Linked DNA regions of Saccharomyces cerevisiae S288C. The gene in region 2 interacts genetically with the main gene of each other region. Each region holds a gene or a part of one and is shown on either strand. Other genes may lie near its edges. The genes, in order: PMP3 and YGR266W.

Evidence for each region.
Region 1: mutations in YGR266W (region 2) and PMP3 together harm fitness more than expected from each alone (negative genetic interaction), as found in Saccharomyces cerevisiae (2 studies listed by BioGRID).

What each region holds. Positions count from the first base shown.
Region 1 is NC_001136.10:1,011,454-1,018,282, forward strand, and holds PMP3 (Pmp3p), read right to left. Parts: upstream 2,191-6,829; coding exon 2,023-2,190; downstream 1-2,022. Other genes in the region: YDR274C (uncharacterized protein), read right to left, coding at 136-507; triglyceride-associated lipolysis regulator TLD1, read left to right, coding at 799-1,506; MTH1 (Mth1p), read right to left, coding at 2,948-4,249. UniProt on the Saccharomyces cerevisiae protein: Plays a role in the regulation of membrane potential. Could mediate a proton leak.
Region 2 is NC_001139.9:1,020,758-1,029,501, forward strand, and holds YGR266W (uncharacterized protein), read left to right. Parts: upstream 1-1,898; coding exon 1,899-4,004; downstream 4,005-8,744. Other genes in the region: methionine--tRNA ligase MES1, read right to left, coding at 1-1,096; FOL2 (GTP cyclohydrolase I), read right to left, coding at 4,247-4,978; HUA1 (Hua1p), read right to left, coding at 5,300-5,896; chromatin segregase YTA7, read left to right, coding at 6,613-8,744.

The DNA.
Region 1 (6,829 bases), on a different chromosome or scaffold from region 2:
GTTTTTACTCAACAATTCAAACTCAATGGAAAGCCAGGAAGTTAGCGCCGGGAAACTTCAGGACAATATAAAAACAGGACTAACGGAAGAAAATAATGTGGGCCTTTTTGAGCAACGCTGACGGTAAGTAGTTTCCTACGATCGTACAATCCCGGAAAATTGTAGTGGTGCAAGAAGGGAAAAGAATGATGGCGAAAAATGCACGCGCGTAAATAATGATTTGTCGAGTCCTATTGACCACAAAACCCGCGGAAACCTAGTTAGCCCAAAAGGAAATGGATAGCATATGAAAAACGAAACGAAACGTCCTTTTGCACGGCAGAAAGAGCTTAGTAGGACCCGGGACAAATGCAAGTTAGATTCCTTGATTCCCGAATGCTCGGTCTTGCGTTTCGCCGTGGCTGCATGGAAGGTCATCGTACGGGTACGGGCAGTCTGGCTGAGTGGTGCCGCCAAAGTGCAATAGCTGTCAGTAGGGCGTGAGGAATGTAAAAGGCAAGAAAACATGTACGAGGGAAGAGAAGGGGGCAAAAGAAAGATAATAGGAACGGTGTAGATGAACTAGAAAAGGTTCAAGAGATGATAAACGTGAAGGGAGTGTCATATCTACCGACATAAAGATAGAGATCTTTTTTTTTCCTTTATTTTTTTTTTTGATTTTTTTTTTTGATTTTCTTGATATTAGTTTTTAGAAGTCCTTTGACGGGGCAGCCGGAGAATATATACCAACGGCATTCTATTGTCTTTTTTTCTTCCTTCCTTGCCAGGCATCTGCATCCATTATTGCCTTTAGTTACAATGTTTTTTTTCCCGAAGCTTAGAAAACTTATAGGTTCAACTGTGATCGATCACGATACCAAGAACTCATCAGGAAAGGAAGAGATCATGTCAAATAGCCGATTAGCACTTGTTATTATCAACCACGCCTTTGATAAGGTACTATCTTTGACGTGGCACTGCGGGATATTATCCGAAATAAGATCAGGACTGATGTTAATGTTTGGCATTTTCCAGTTGATGTGCTCTTTGGGTGTCATCGTATTGCTGTTGCCTATTATCATACTGGACGCGATCGATCTATTCCTCTACATGTGCAGGTTGCTTGATTACGGTTGCAAGTTATTCCACTACAATAGATCATCATTACCGGTGGCAGATGGAAAAGAAAAGACCAGTGGTCCCATAAGCGGAAAGGAGGAAATAGTTATTGATGAGGAGATAATTAATATGCTAAATGAATCCTCAGAATCATTGATCAATCATACTACAGCTGGTCTGGAATATGATATTAGTTCAGGTAGTGTTAACAAAAGTAGGCGTTTGAATTCAACTAGTACAGTTACATTTGTGAAGCAGAATAAACTTGTTAATGAAAGGAGGGAAGACGCCTACTACGAGGAAGAGGATGATGATTTCCTATCAAATCCGAATTATGATAAGATATCATTGATCGAAAAATCATTCACGAGTCGTTTTGAAGTGGCTTGTGAGCAGAAAGCTGCTTAAATTGATAATCAAGGTCAAGGCAACGCAACGCCACTGCTAAGAACACTTATTGCTACAGAAAGGAAACTAAAAATAATTATAAGGCTAGAGAGAAATAAAAACAAAATAAGAGAGATAATATGGGTAAGGGTCTGCCACCCATCTGATAAAAGGCTGTTCTATCTTTTGGAACTCTACAACACAGGTAAACGGATGATACTGGCTATATTTATATAGATAAACAAACTTGCAGGACAGATAGTTAAGCGTCTATATCATGTGTATTTTAAGCGAAGAAAAAAGTACAAAAATGATAAAAGGCAAAAAAGATGAGAAGTTTTTTTTGTGATAAAATTAATTATTAAAAAATACACACGTAGTTAAAATTAACAGCGGGGGAGGAAACCTTAAGAGAAAGAGAAACAAAAAAAAAGAAAGGAAACAAATAAAAATGAGGGTGACCCGAACATGTTGATACCGTTTCCTAATACTGCTTCCTTATTTCATTTGATAGTTACTTTCGTTTATTGAATGAGCTTAATCTTGTAGGACAATGTACAAGGCATATAGCATACCTGGGAACCAAGCCAAAATGGTCAAAATGATATCCACTATACAGTCAGTACCCCACCCACGGGCTAGAAAAACGGCGACTGGTGGTAAGAAAAGGGATAATATAATGTTAATGATCTTGGCAGAATCCATTGTTGTATTGTGCTGTGCTGTTTAGTTCAAAATGTATAATCAATTGTATTATACTGGCGAAAAACAACAACCGATAGTAAATTTTCTTCTTTTTTTCCTTTCCCTCTTCCAAAACAAAAACACTCACTTCCTCTTTTGTATTTATAGAGGCGCCCATCGCAAAATAACCAGGACCCCCTTTTGAGGGCGTGGTTAAAGGGCACCCAGAGCCCACACCCATTGCATCTTCCGCTATTAGGGGACTGCGGAAGTGAGGGGAGCAGTAAATAGTGATCTTTGTAATTTTCTGCAAAATCCCTCTCGCTGTCTCGGGTTTTTCGATTCAGAGGACCTTCCCCCCCCCATGTTCCGAGATCGGTTTTGGTGGTTAGAAGGCCGGAGGAAAGACATTTACCGCTTGCGCGCGGCTTCTTCTGTATGCTGTGCTCAACTACCAAGAGAAGGATTACGCGCACGGATACGTTGGATGTCTGCGATTGGTGATGCTAAGAACTAAAGGTATTTCGTCATCGTATGGTTTGATCTTCGCTACCCTTGACTCTTTACTGCGATAACGGTACCACGTTCCCATAAAATTCTTATTACTAAATCTCTATAAAGCTGCAACAGCTAGTTTGTATATATAAATCATTGGCGCTTCTTCCTCAATTCCTTGGGAATTTGGAGCTCCTCTATTAAAACTGATGTCCATGGGATAGTATTGATACAATCGAAGAGTCTCCAAAAAAACCATCGGGAAGGTTTCTTTTTAGTATCTTCAGGATACTGAATCCGGCTGCCAATCCAATCCTAATCTTTGGTAAACTTGTGCCTGACATTGCGACCATATCGTAGCCTTTTCTTCTTTAGATAAGCTGACTTTGTTTTTTCCCTGTTGATTTGTTGCGGCGCTTGATCTCATCATCAATTCATCAAGGTTATTATTGGGGTTTTTCAACTGAATGTTCTTCAATAAAGCCTTTTTCAGAAGCGATTTTGTTTCTGTGCTGTTTTTCCGCGGTATTATGCTTGGTGGGGGCATGTCCGGTCTTTTTAAGTTGGACTGTTGTAACTTCCATTTCTTATATTCGGAGCATCTTTGTTTGAAATCAAACCTGCATTGTGCCTCTACTGCTATATTTAAGAGGTAATTTTCGATGATATTTCTCCATTCCGGTTTCGACAAATTCATGACGGCTTCATTTCTACCAGTTATATGCTCATGTCTTTTTCTAGCGGTCGCTACTGTATATTTGGCGCTGGTTAGTTTGAATTCATAATCTAAGTTAGCCTCCATGTACAGATCCGAATGGACTAACGTTGCGATTATGGTCTCATCGCTAGAATATAGTGGTAATAATTGTAACCTAAACTGGGGCATATTATCACCCACCGTTATTACTTCCGGTAGTTGATTACCCCATTCGGGCCTTAACTTCTCGACTATCAATAACGATCTTATATCGTTTAAATCCCAATCCAATAACTCTCTCTTGGTAAACTTGGGACGCCCGTTACAGAGAATGTTGGATGGGTCTGCTAATAGAATATCTGGCGAATACATGTCATAAAACGTTTTGGGTAATGCTTCATCCAGGCTCACTCTCGTGATTAACTTGTGGTTAGGAAATTCGGAGAACGAAGAGTCATTAGTTAGTTGCGTGTGCACAGTAGAGGGGGCAGAAAATATACTTGATTGATAAGACGAGGCATTATCCGAAAGTAAACTCCCACTTTCAGCCACGCTTGATCTCCTGCTCGCTGAATGCATACTGCTTGAATGATGTGACCTTCTGCTAGGTGAGGAGGCCAATAATCTTTTTTTAATCTCATCTCTAGCTCTATCAGTGTACTCCGGAGGAGCATTCACAAAGTTCTCTCTTCTCGAAGAAGTCGTGGATTGAGAGCTACTCATTGATAGTGGCAAACTTTGAAAAGAAGCATTATCACTGCCACTCATCGTGTTTTCCGGAATGGCCTGTAGGGAGCTTGCAAACCCATGATTACTGTTAGTCGATTCTAATGGACGTCGTTGTAAAACTTGGTTTTTCGAAGTTGCTGGTGGTGGTGAAACAAACATTCCTTTGAGTGTGTGTACTCTATGCGTTCGAATAAAATTCTCTTTGTATTGCTGCTTGTGGTTTCGCTATTGAGAACTTTCAATATACGTTAAAAAATACTTGGAGTGAAATGAACAAATCTTTTTGTATGTTTCCTTAAGTTATTAAAAAACTCCATGCTGTTTTTTAATAAAAAAAGAAGCAGTTACAGGCGCATTACAAAGTTTGAGAAGAAAGGAAAAATGTCATTTGGTTATATAAATTTTTTTTCTTAATGGAGATTGAGGCAGCAATAAAATGTGGGATGAAAAAAAAAAAAAAAGGCACTTGAATAAGGGGTAGAATGGCAGATATTCCATGTCTACGGTAGTTTCACTGGAGAAATGGACTCGTATTTTCTCTCACGATGAATTTTTCCACAAAATTATAAGATGAGGAAATGTGTGGGGCAGTCATCCTAACAAAACTCGCACGGACTCCATTTCCCCGGACCTTTTTCCCGCTTGTTCTAGGGAATAATTTCGGAATAATTTTAGGGACTTCATAGTATGACTGGGTTTCAAGGAACGGAAAAACTGGTTAGTACCGCGTTATTCTGCCATTTGCTGATCGTTTTAGTGGAGGAGCGGAGGAGGGGGCGGGGTGATAACTTTTTTTCCGCTTTACAATAGAGAAAAGTCCAAGTAAGTCTCGGCGTGAGATGGCCTTGATGTTATTAGTACCGGCGGCTCCCTAATAGTTTACTAATACGCATACCTTATGTCATATTTTTCCATCAAATATTGATCAGTAGAAAACCTTGGCAATGTACATAGAGCTACACTTTTTTGGATATGGAGTATTAGAGAAAACTGGGTTTGGTGGGCGAAGAGAGATGTTCCCTACCTCCTCAAGAGTCTTCAACTATGAATTTCACACCATATCCTTATCTAAACGAACTATGGGGTGGTCAGCTAACGCAAGTATTGAATTCTTTCTCTTAAAGTACCCCTAAGTTGAAGAATTCATTTTAATCTTCCTTGCTTTGTCCCCCCCCCCTAGAAGCATAGTTTTGTCTTAACGCTGTAACGGTCTTGTATGCTTATTTTGGTGGTAGGGATCGGTTTGCACCTTGGAAATGCTATGTTTACTTTATTAAAAAAATAATTAGTTTTCCTCCAAAACGTAAACAAATATAAGTTTGAGAGACAAAGAAAAGAATGAAAGAGTCTTATATATATATAAGTTAGCTGGTAGCATAACCATTTTTCTCGACTTATTTATAAAACATTCGACATACTTCCATATTTCAAGCATTAATATGAGACCTAGAATTTTTTCAAGCTAACTTATGTACATTGTAGTTATATGATGAGGAAAAATGTACACAACAGCTTGTGCTGTTTATTCCCATCGTATGTTGCGGTAATGCAAACAGCAATAGAAAAAAAATTGATATAAGAAGAATATGACTAGTAGCATCACAGTGAAACAGTAACGGTAAATGAATCAGCATGTGAATTTTTCTAGAAAATAAAAAAGAAACTCCGAAGCGGGGAGTCGAACCCCGGTCTCCACGGTGAGAACGTGATGTGATAGCCGTTACACTACATCGGATTGTACCTTGGTGATAGTTTGACCTAAAAGAAACGTTCATTATGTAATGAAGAAAGCCAATTATTCGGTCGCAAATCAAGGTTCTGTTAGGGAATATGATTTTCTTTGACTCTCAATGAGTTCTCTTATGACTATTTAGGGGCTAAATTATTTGTTATGGCAATATTATTAGGTAGGAAAGATACGACTTTACTGAAATTGTTGGAAATACAAAAAGGAGCAGATCATTCCACATAATGATATCATTATTCCCTCTTTCATTTAAAAAATCACCGTTTTTATTTTATTAATTATCAGTCTCTGCATTTTCAGATTCTGTTAAATTTGATAAATGTTTTTCGCCGTTTATAAAGTATTTTTGCATCATGTATGATAATGTATTAGTAATATGAAAACTGGTGTTATTAATAATCAGTGGTCAGGATGTAGTATTAGTTTGGAATAAAAGCAAATCTCCTCATGCTATATAAGAGGAATATAGAAAATACAGGCCAGTTGTTCTTATTAAACATGAACATAATAGTGGGTCTAGCAGTTACTATACATTTAAATTGGCGACTACTATTATTCGTACATTCGACTATAGCAGTATTTCCAATTAATGGATCTTTAACTCAGCTATTATACTGTTTGAGTTCCTCGTTTAACATTTCCCTGTCCAACAGGGACTTAAAAGTATGTAGGGTTTGCATTAATATACAGTAGAGACACTTAAATTGTTACTATAGTAACTCAAGTTACTATTCGTGAGAATATTGACTTATTATTCTTCATGAATAGTCGATTAGTAATCAAATGAAGTAATCAGATGTGCAATGCGTCTTTAATGTTTCAGACTGGAGAATGATACGTAGCTACATAATAATCTGGGTACAGTAAACTCAATGATCTATTACCTGAATGATTAATCTGATGCTTGCAATATAACAATTCATCTCGTGACATTAACCATAAGAATTACTCTCATCATTGCTATATCGGCAAGGTTTAATATGTCCAGTCGG
Region 2 (8,744 bases):
GTGGATTGATCAATTCAAATGGATCTAACAGGGCACCACATTTGTCACATTGATCCCCACGAGCATCATCGTAGTGACATTTTGGACATTCACCTTCCACGTAACGATCAGCCAGATAAGAATTATGAACTGGACAGTACAATTGCTTCATAGATTGTTCTTCTAGATAACCATTCGAATTTAGCTTTGTAAAAATATGTTGAGCAATCTCCGTTTGCTTGTCCGTCGTAGTTCTACCGAAATAATCAAATCCAATTTGGAACCACTTGTAAACGTCACTGTGGATTTTGTGATATTTGTCACATAATTGTCTTGGTGTCACACCTTCCTCCAAAGCTTTAGTTTCCGTGGCAGTACCATATTCATCAGTACCACAAATAAACAAGGCATTATAATTACGTCCCTTACAGTAACGAGCAAAAATGTCTGCTGAAAGAACACTACCGATGATATTACCCAAGTGTGGAACGTTGTTGACATAAGGTAATGCCGAAGTGATCAAGATGTTTCTTTCGTTTGGCTTAGGCAAAATTTCTGAATCCTTTGGCTTAACTGTTAAGTCAGCTTGGATTTTCACTGCGCCGATGTTTTTGAAAGAAGAAGAATCACGTGGAACATGCTTTTTAGCCAATGCTACAGCGTTATGCACTTTGGATGGCAATTCTGGGAATTTAGAATGAACTAAAGAAGAATTTAGAGCATAAACGTTAGCAAACAGGATCAAATCTGTAGTAGTCAATGGTTCTTTTAATTCGACCAAGTAATTTTCAATGGCCTTATTTGTCAAAACCTCGACATGTTGTTGAGGTAATTCTTTATGATATAACAGGTTTTGTAAAGATGCCAATGCAAATTGATACTTGTCGGAAGTTTGACCTTCAAAATCATCCATGACATATCTTAGAATAGCGTTAGCATCAAACAAAAGGAAAGGTTCCTTTGTATTGCGCAATTCCATGGCAGCATTATCATTGTCAACTTCAGGCTTTAAATTTTTGCTTGCATATTCAAGTGCTAGGGCAATCTTCAAATTGTTCGCTAACTGCAAATGGGCAGGATGTTTCTTCGATTTATCAAAGGAAATGAGGAAAGACATGCTTGTTGTAAATTTCCGCTTTTTTTTCAAGTTTTATTCCTCCACAAAGATGCATATCAGGAAGCAAATCATCATTAACATTAGACATCGAAGAAAATTTGTCATCGTCTTTTTTTTTTTTTCGTTTTCTCTTTCGATAAGTTGCGTACAGAAATTTTTTCTGCCTCCGAAATCATTCGTGCCTCGTGATATTGAGAAGAAGTGACTATACTCGGGCAATGCATAAATGATCGTTTCGGCGGCTAACAAAGATAATCATAGCAAGTCGACAGATCGATAGGATACACCATTATCATCACGCTACGCGTTCTCGGGAAAGCTTTGACTAGAATATTTTTCAAAGTTGAATTATATTATGTTAATCTTTTGACTTCATGCCTTTTGAATTCCCCTCCATAGGTTCCCATTTTTGACTTCAACAATTCCTACTTCAAAATCCCTGGTTAAAGAAGCCTTTCCTCAGTTTGTACAACTATGTCCGCTGTAGCTAAAAAGTTAGCATAATTCATGTTTTATGCCTGAGACGTTTTAAACTAGTACTTAATCTCTATCAATAAACTTAACCCAGAAGGTCTCAAGATTAAACATGTTATTTTTTCGTCCTTTTATTGAAAAAAGTTGAAATAGCAGCGTCGGGTAATACCAGGAATATATTTTTATCGGCACGGCTACATAGCGAAGGGTCCATTAGTAAAAATGAAAAGAAATTCCACAAAGTTAGTGAGGGGAAAGTCCTACAGAAGGTCAAAACAGTTGCTACCGGGTTCAAAGTACTCAATTGAAAATAAACACTGCTACAAAAATGCATGCTACAAACTGGTTCGACGATTGGAACCCAGAAGCTCTTTATAGAGACGATGTCACTGGCTGCGATGACTGTTCCGAAACTTCGCCAATTCCAAAGTCTGGTATTATATGTGGACCGATATTAAGACTCATCAACATGGATTTTAAGGAAAAAACCTACGAGGGGTCTATTATGGTGGTAGTTAGAGGCGAGGAAAACTTTCCGAAAATTACCTATCAGCTAGGGCCCTCTTTGCCCTCTGAGGATGAAGACATCGAAGTTAACGAGGCATTCTTCGAAGGTAAACTTTTTCATAAGGACATTTTAAAAGATGATAATATATGGTTTTACAGGTATGAGATTAAGTTGCCCATGTCCAACTATGAGCAGATGGTAAAATATGCTGTTGACGGTACTATGGAACCACATTATAGGTTCTTCGTTCCCTCTTTCACTCAAAATTCGAACGTTATCTCCTATTCATGCAACGGATTTTCACTGAGCGTAGATACATCGAAATTCAAAGGTTCTCTATGGTATGATGTCCTTAAAAAGCATCGATACGTTCATTATCATGCCATTCTCGGCGGCGGAGATCAAATTTACTCCGATAATATTAAACTGCATGCGCCAAATCTTAAAGCTTGGCTGGAGACAAAGGACCCAATTAAGAAGTATAATACTCAGACCACTGAAGAAACAAAAGAGCAGATTAGGCAGTTTTATTTAGAACACTATTTAAACTGGTACGGTTACGGTCACTGGTATGGTTCTACCCCAAAATCCAAGACCACCCAAAAATGCTTTGTCAAGTCACTAGCTTGTATTCCTGCCATTAATGTCTGGGATGACCACGATATTATTGATGGCTATGGATCGTACAACGATTCCTTCATGAAGACTGAAAATTTCCTCACAGTGGGAAGAATGGCTTACCGATACTATATGCTTTTCCAGCAGCATGTCAGTGCTTCTAAACAAGATGGCGATGAGTATGCTTATCTCAAGAGCAAACAATGGATTCTAGGTAATGAAAAAGGGAGTTCTTATATCGGTGAAAGGTCTCACTCAATATTCTCTTGGTTGGGTCCGAAAATGGCCATGTTAGGGTTGGACTGTAGAACTGAGAGGAAATTACACGAGATTTTCTCAGAAAGAAGTTATTCCTTAATTTGGGAACGTGTCGAAAGGGAAATAAAAAATTTAAAAGGTGGCCACTTATTGCTGATGCTCGGTATCCCGATTGCATATCCAAGGTTAGTATGGTTAGAATGGCTTTTTACCTCAAAACTACTGGCTCCAATTAAATATTTATCTAAAAAAGGGATATTTGCTAGTGGCTTCGTTAACGAATTTAATGGAGATGTAGAACTGTTGGATGATTTAAATGATCATTGGTGCGCGAGACATCATAAAAAAGAAAGAAACTACTTGATAATGAAATTGCAAGACATAGGTGCTAAATATGGCGTCAGAATAACCATATTATCAGGCGATGTACATTTGGCATCTGTTGGGAGATTTAGGGCAAAAATTCATAGACACCATCTCATCATGTCTGAGGAGAAGGAAAAGGAAAACACCAGAATTATTGAAGAACCAACGAAAGACGTAAGGCTGATTTTTAATATCATTGCTAGCGCCATAGTAAATACCCCACCGCCAGATGCAATGGCCACGCTATTGCAAAAAAGATGTCGCTTGCATCATTTCGATTTGGAAACGGATGAAGATGCCGTACCAATTTTTGCCAAGGAAGTGGATGGAGTACATAAACGTAAAGAATCATGTTTCATGAACAAGAGAAACTGGTCAGATATTATACCTATAGAAAACCTGTTGAATAATCCCCAATTGAGTAAAGAATTAGGCGTAAAGGTTGGTGATATAGTCATTCCTGGTATCATCACAGAACAGCAAAAGCTACAGAAATTGGAAAACGATGACCAAATTAACTCTTATCCAGTAACTTCTGGTGGCTTGTTTACCACCATTCATGTTGAAAGAGATGCAAATCAAACAAACTCACAAACTGTGAGCTACTGTTTACCCATTCCAGAGTTAACAGTTACCTGCGAACGGTTGTCTCACAAGGGTATCAAACATCTGAATATCACATAGTTTAGTTTTGTGATAATTACAGATTTTTATTTAGCAGTTCAAACTTTTCTATTCATTACTAACGGACTGTCAAGTGCGATGCTGTACCGGAAGTAAATGTATATACTGATTGTTGAAAAAAAAAAAAGCTCAGTCGCGCGTGGCCTTTCTCTATGGAGATTTCTCAAACGATATTAATCCTGTATATCTCTATTAATTTAGTTAATACATACACGATATATCGTCGCTTTTATTTTTTTTTTTCAAATACTTCTTCTTCCTAAAAGAGTTAAAAACTCTTCTCTTGTTTTATGAGCCCTAAACCCTCCAAGCATACAAGAAGTTACCGTAGAAGATCCCGTTTTTTGAATGCCTCTTGAAACCATGCACATATGAGAAGCTTCCATAACAACGGCTACACCTAATGGTTTTAGAATATCACTTAGGGCCATTGCAATTTGCTTTGTAAGTCTTTCTTGAACTTGGAGCCTTCTCGCATACATTTCTGCCAATCTGGCCAACTTACTTAACCCGATGACTTTTTTATTTGGTATATACCCGATATGAACCTTGCCGAAAAATGGCACCAAATGATGTTCACATAACGAGTAAATTTCAATATCACGAACAATAACCATTTCATCATGATCTTCTTCAAAGACAGCATTCTTAATGACATCGTCCATAATGTTCGTTTGGTAACCTTTAGTGAAATAAAGCATGGCTTTAGCGTATCTTTGTGGAGTATCTAGTAGACCTTCTCTGTTGACATCTTCACCCAGTTCGGTCAAAATTGTCTTGATAGCGCCTGAAATGCGTTGAATTCGTTCCTTTTCCTCCTCTTCAGTTTCCTCTGCACGTTGTCTTGTACCCACACTTGGCCAAGAAAACCCATCTCTCTCGACAGGAGGGTTTAAAGTGTATGGAGAGGTAGGTCTAATGTTTAACGGGGTTTCATGTCTTTCTATCTCTTGCACTAATTGGATGTTATGCATTTTGGGATGATTGAAAGTATTGGTTCTAACAAAAAATGAGTCACGCACGCACAATCACGATTGAGGATGGAGTCGTATAATATTTTATGAACGGATGCTATATCGATCAGACGGTTGGCACCGTAAAAATAAATGAAAGAAGTTAAAGAAGGGCAAATCAGTCGGATTATGTGATAAGTATGTAATAGACATGTTTGAAAATTAGGAGCATTAAAATATGCTTTTCATCCTACAGTTGTTCGGTCTTTTTTCTTTTCGGTGAGCGACACAGCTTTTCTACTAAGGCCGTACCGGGTCATCCAAATCCTAAATTTTCATGCGCTAATAGCGTTGAGGCTGGGTGATAATTCTGCCTACACCATGACAAAGAGGACATATATCTTCGTCCAACAGGAATCTGGTGCGTCCGGACCCTCTGCATTCACCACATAGCACGCCACCCAGGCGAGGATCCCCTGGTTGAACGTACAAGGGCCTATTACCCTGCCATGCGTTGGTGTACACGGGCATTGTATAGTTTGTGTAATATGTCGGTGCAGAAACAACGTTATTTTGAGGTGCAAACCTCCTCCAACACGACTTGCAAGATCGTCCATTCTTCAACTTGTAACCCGTATTTCCACACTTGGAACAGTAAAACCTGGGAGGGTATGTCCAGGGCAAGCTAGGATTCTGTTGTGGCCTCGGTGGAGGCCGTGGTTGGGAACTTGTAGGCGTATAAGAGTGTGAGTGAGCATATGTTTGGGATGAGGACGTTGCTGGCATTGTCGAGGGCCTTTGGTGGGGTCTTGATTGGTGCCCTTGCGCCAAGTTAGCTGCTGGTCTTGGTGGTCGTGGCGGTTGAGATTGCAATCTCTCCTCTTCCTTGATTACGTCCTCGTAGCTCGGCAGTTCATCATCATGCGTGTCTTTAGACATAACAGTATGGTTTATACTCGTTTTATGGGTATTTTTTGGGACTGCTTAGTTCTTGACTTGAAGCCTCTTTATTCCCTTGATGGAAGTGTCACTATTAAAGATGGAGGCGGAGGCTATACCGTAGAAAATGATATGTTTGTATGTTCTGCTCTCTTCCCTCTATTAAAAGGGGGAAAGAGAAAAATAAATGGAAAAAAGCGATTAAGCCATAGGGAAAACACTCTTGTGGTGGCAAAGCATCAGATAGGCAGGCAGGAGGAAATGGCAGTGAAGTGTCAAACCAAGCATACTTTCACTGGATTGATTTGAAAGTTAATGCTGAGTTTGAGATGTTTTAAAGAGGAACTGTGGTGATCGGTTATTTCTATTCGCTTTTGTGTGCGTCTTTTCATCGTTTGCAGCTGAACTTGTTGAGGCATTAGCCGCTGAGGAATTTTTTTCTGCCTCTATAAACTTGTTTATTATCACTAAAAACGTACCGTCTGTTATTTTGTACGGCCATGTGTGCGAAAAAGGACAAAGTGGTAGCGAAAGAGCAATATTGGGACGAAAAGGAGCAGAAAAGGAACTGCGTAGGGTCTTAAATAAAGCAAAACGTCTGAAGGATCTTGCGTACTCCTTACTAACCCATTGTTGTTTTCGACAGTCATAAAAAGAAGTTACCACGGTCTATTTCTCTCTTCTCGCTATTTATTCACAATTGGTGCAGAAAGAACATGGCACGAAATTTAAGGAATAGACGCGGTAGCGACGTTGAAGATGCAAGCAACGCAAAGGTTGGGTATGAAACACAGATTAAAGACGAAAATGGCATAATCCATACAACAACTCGCTCTTTGAGAAAAATAAACTACGCAGAAATTGAGAAAGTGTTTGATTTTTTGGAAGATGACCAGGTCATGGACAAAGATGAGACGCCCGTTGATGTTACTAGTGATGAACATCATAACAACAACCAGAAAGGCGATGATGAAGACGATGATGTTGATCTTGTATCACCGCACGAAAACGCCAGAACGAACGAAGAGCTTACTAATGAAAGGAACTTGAGAAAAAGAAAAGCGCATGATCCAGAAGAAGATGACGAAAGTTTTCATGAGGAAGATGTCGACGATGATGAAGAGGAGGAAGAAGCAGACGAATTTGAAGATGAGTATTTGGATGAAGACTCGAAGGATAACAACCGTCGGCGCAGAGCGGCCGATAGGAAATTTGTAGTACCAGACCCTGATGACGATGAAGAATACGATGAGGATGACGAAGAAGGAGACAGAATAAGCCATTCGGCTTCTTCTAAACGTTTGAAAAGGGCAAATTCTCGAAGAACAAGATCGTCACGTCACCCAGAAACTCCACCACCGGTAAGAAGAGCTTTAAGAAGTAGGACAAGACATTCGCGTACTTCAAATGAAGAAAATGACGATGAGAATGATAATAGCAGGAATGAAGCGTTAACTTTAGCTGATGAAATTAGAGAGTTACAGGAAGATAGTCCTATCAGGGAAAAAAGATTTCTTCGCGAAAGAACTAAGCCGGTAAATTACAAATTACCACCACCACTAACTGCTAGCAACGCAGAAGAATTTATAGATAAGAATAACAATGCACTTTCTTTTCATAACCCATCACCTGCACGGCGTGGTCGCGGTGGTTGGAATGCTAGTCAAAATTCTGGTCCCACAAGAAGGCTTTTTCCCACTGGTGGACCTTTTGGTGGCAATGACGTAACTACAATATTTGGTAAGAATACTAATTTTTACAACCAAGTCCCATCTGCATTCAGTGATAATAACAACAATAAATTAATACTGGATTCAGACTCTTCCGATGATGAGATATTACCTCTTGGCGTGACACCGAAAACAAAGAAAGAGAACACGCAAAAAAAGAAGAAGAAAAAACCAGAAATTGCAGACCTCGATCCATTAGGCGTAGACATGAATGTAAATTTTGACGATATAGGTGGTTTAGACAACTACATTGACCAATTAAAGGAAATGGTGGCCTTACCACTATTATACCCAGAATTGTATCAAAATTTTAATATCACGCCCCCAAGGGGTGTTCTTTTCCATGGTCCTCCTGGTACGGGTAAAACACTTATGGCAAGAGCGTTAGCAGCAAGTTGTTCTTCTGATGAAAGGAAGATCACATTTTTTATGCGTAAAGGTGCAGATATTTTATCCAAGTGGGTTGGTGAAGCTGAAAGACAACTCCGTTTGTTATTCGAAGAAGCTAAAAAACATCAACCTTCCATCATTTTTTTTGATGAAATCGACGGATTAGCGCCTGTGAGAAGTTCCAAACAAGAACAGATCCATGCTAGTATTGTTTCCACATTATTAGCGCTGATGGATGGTATGGACAATAGAGGCCAAGTCATTGTCATCGGAGCCACAAATCGACCCGATGCAGTGGATCCCGCATTAAGAAGGCCGGGAAGATTTGATAGAGAATTTTATTTTCCATTACCTGATGTTAAAGCACGTTTTAAAATTTTGCAAATTCAGACCAGGAAATGGAGTTCACCGTTGTCAACCAACTTCATTGATAAATTGGCTTTTTTGACCAAAGGATATGGTGGTGCTGATCTGAGGTCCCTATGCACTGAGGCTGCACTAATAAGTATACAAAGAAGCTTTCCTCAAATTTATAGGTCAAATGATAAACTCTTGGTGGACCCTTCTAAGATTAAAGTCAAAGTTAGCGATTTCATGTTAGCTTTGAAAAAAATTGTTCCGTCATCTGCGAGATCTACTGGTAGTTCTCCTCAGCCACTACCTGAATTAATCAAACCATTACTGGCAGATCAACTTAATAATTTAAAGAACAAGCTGGATTATATGCT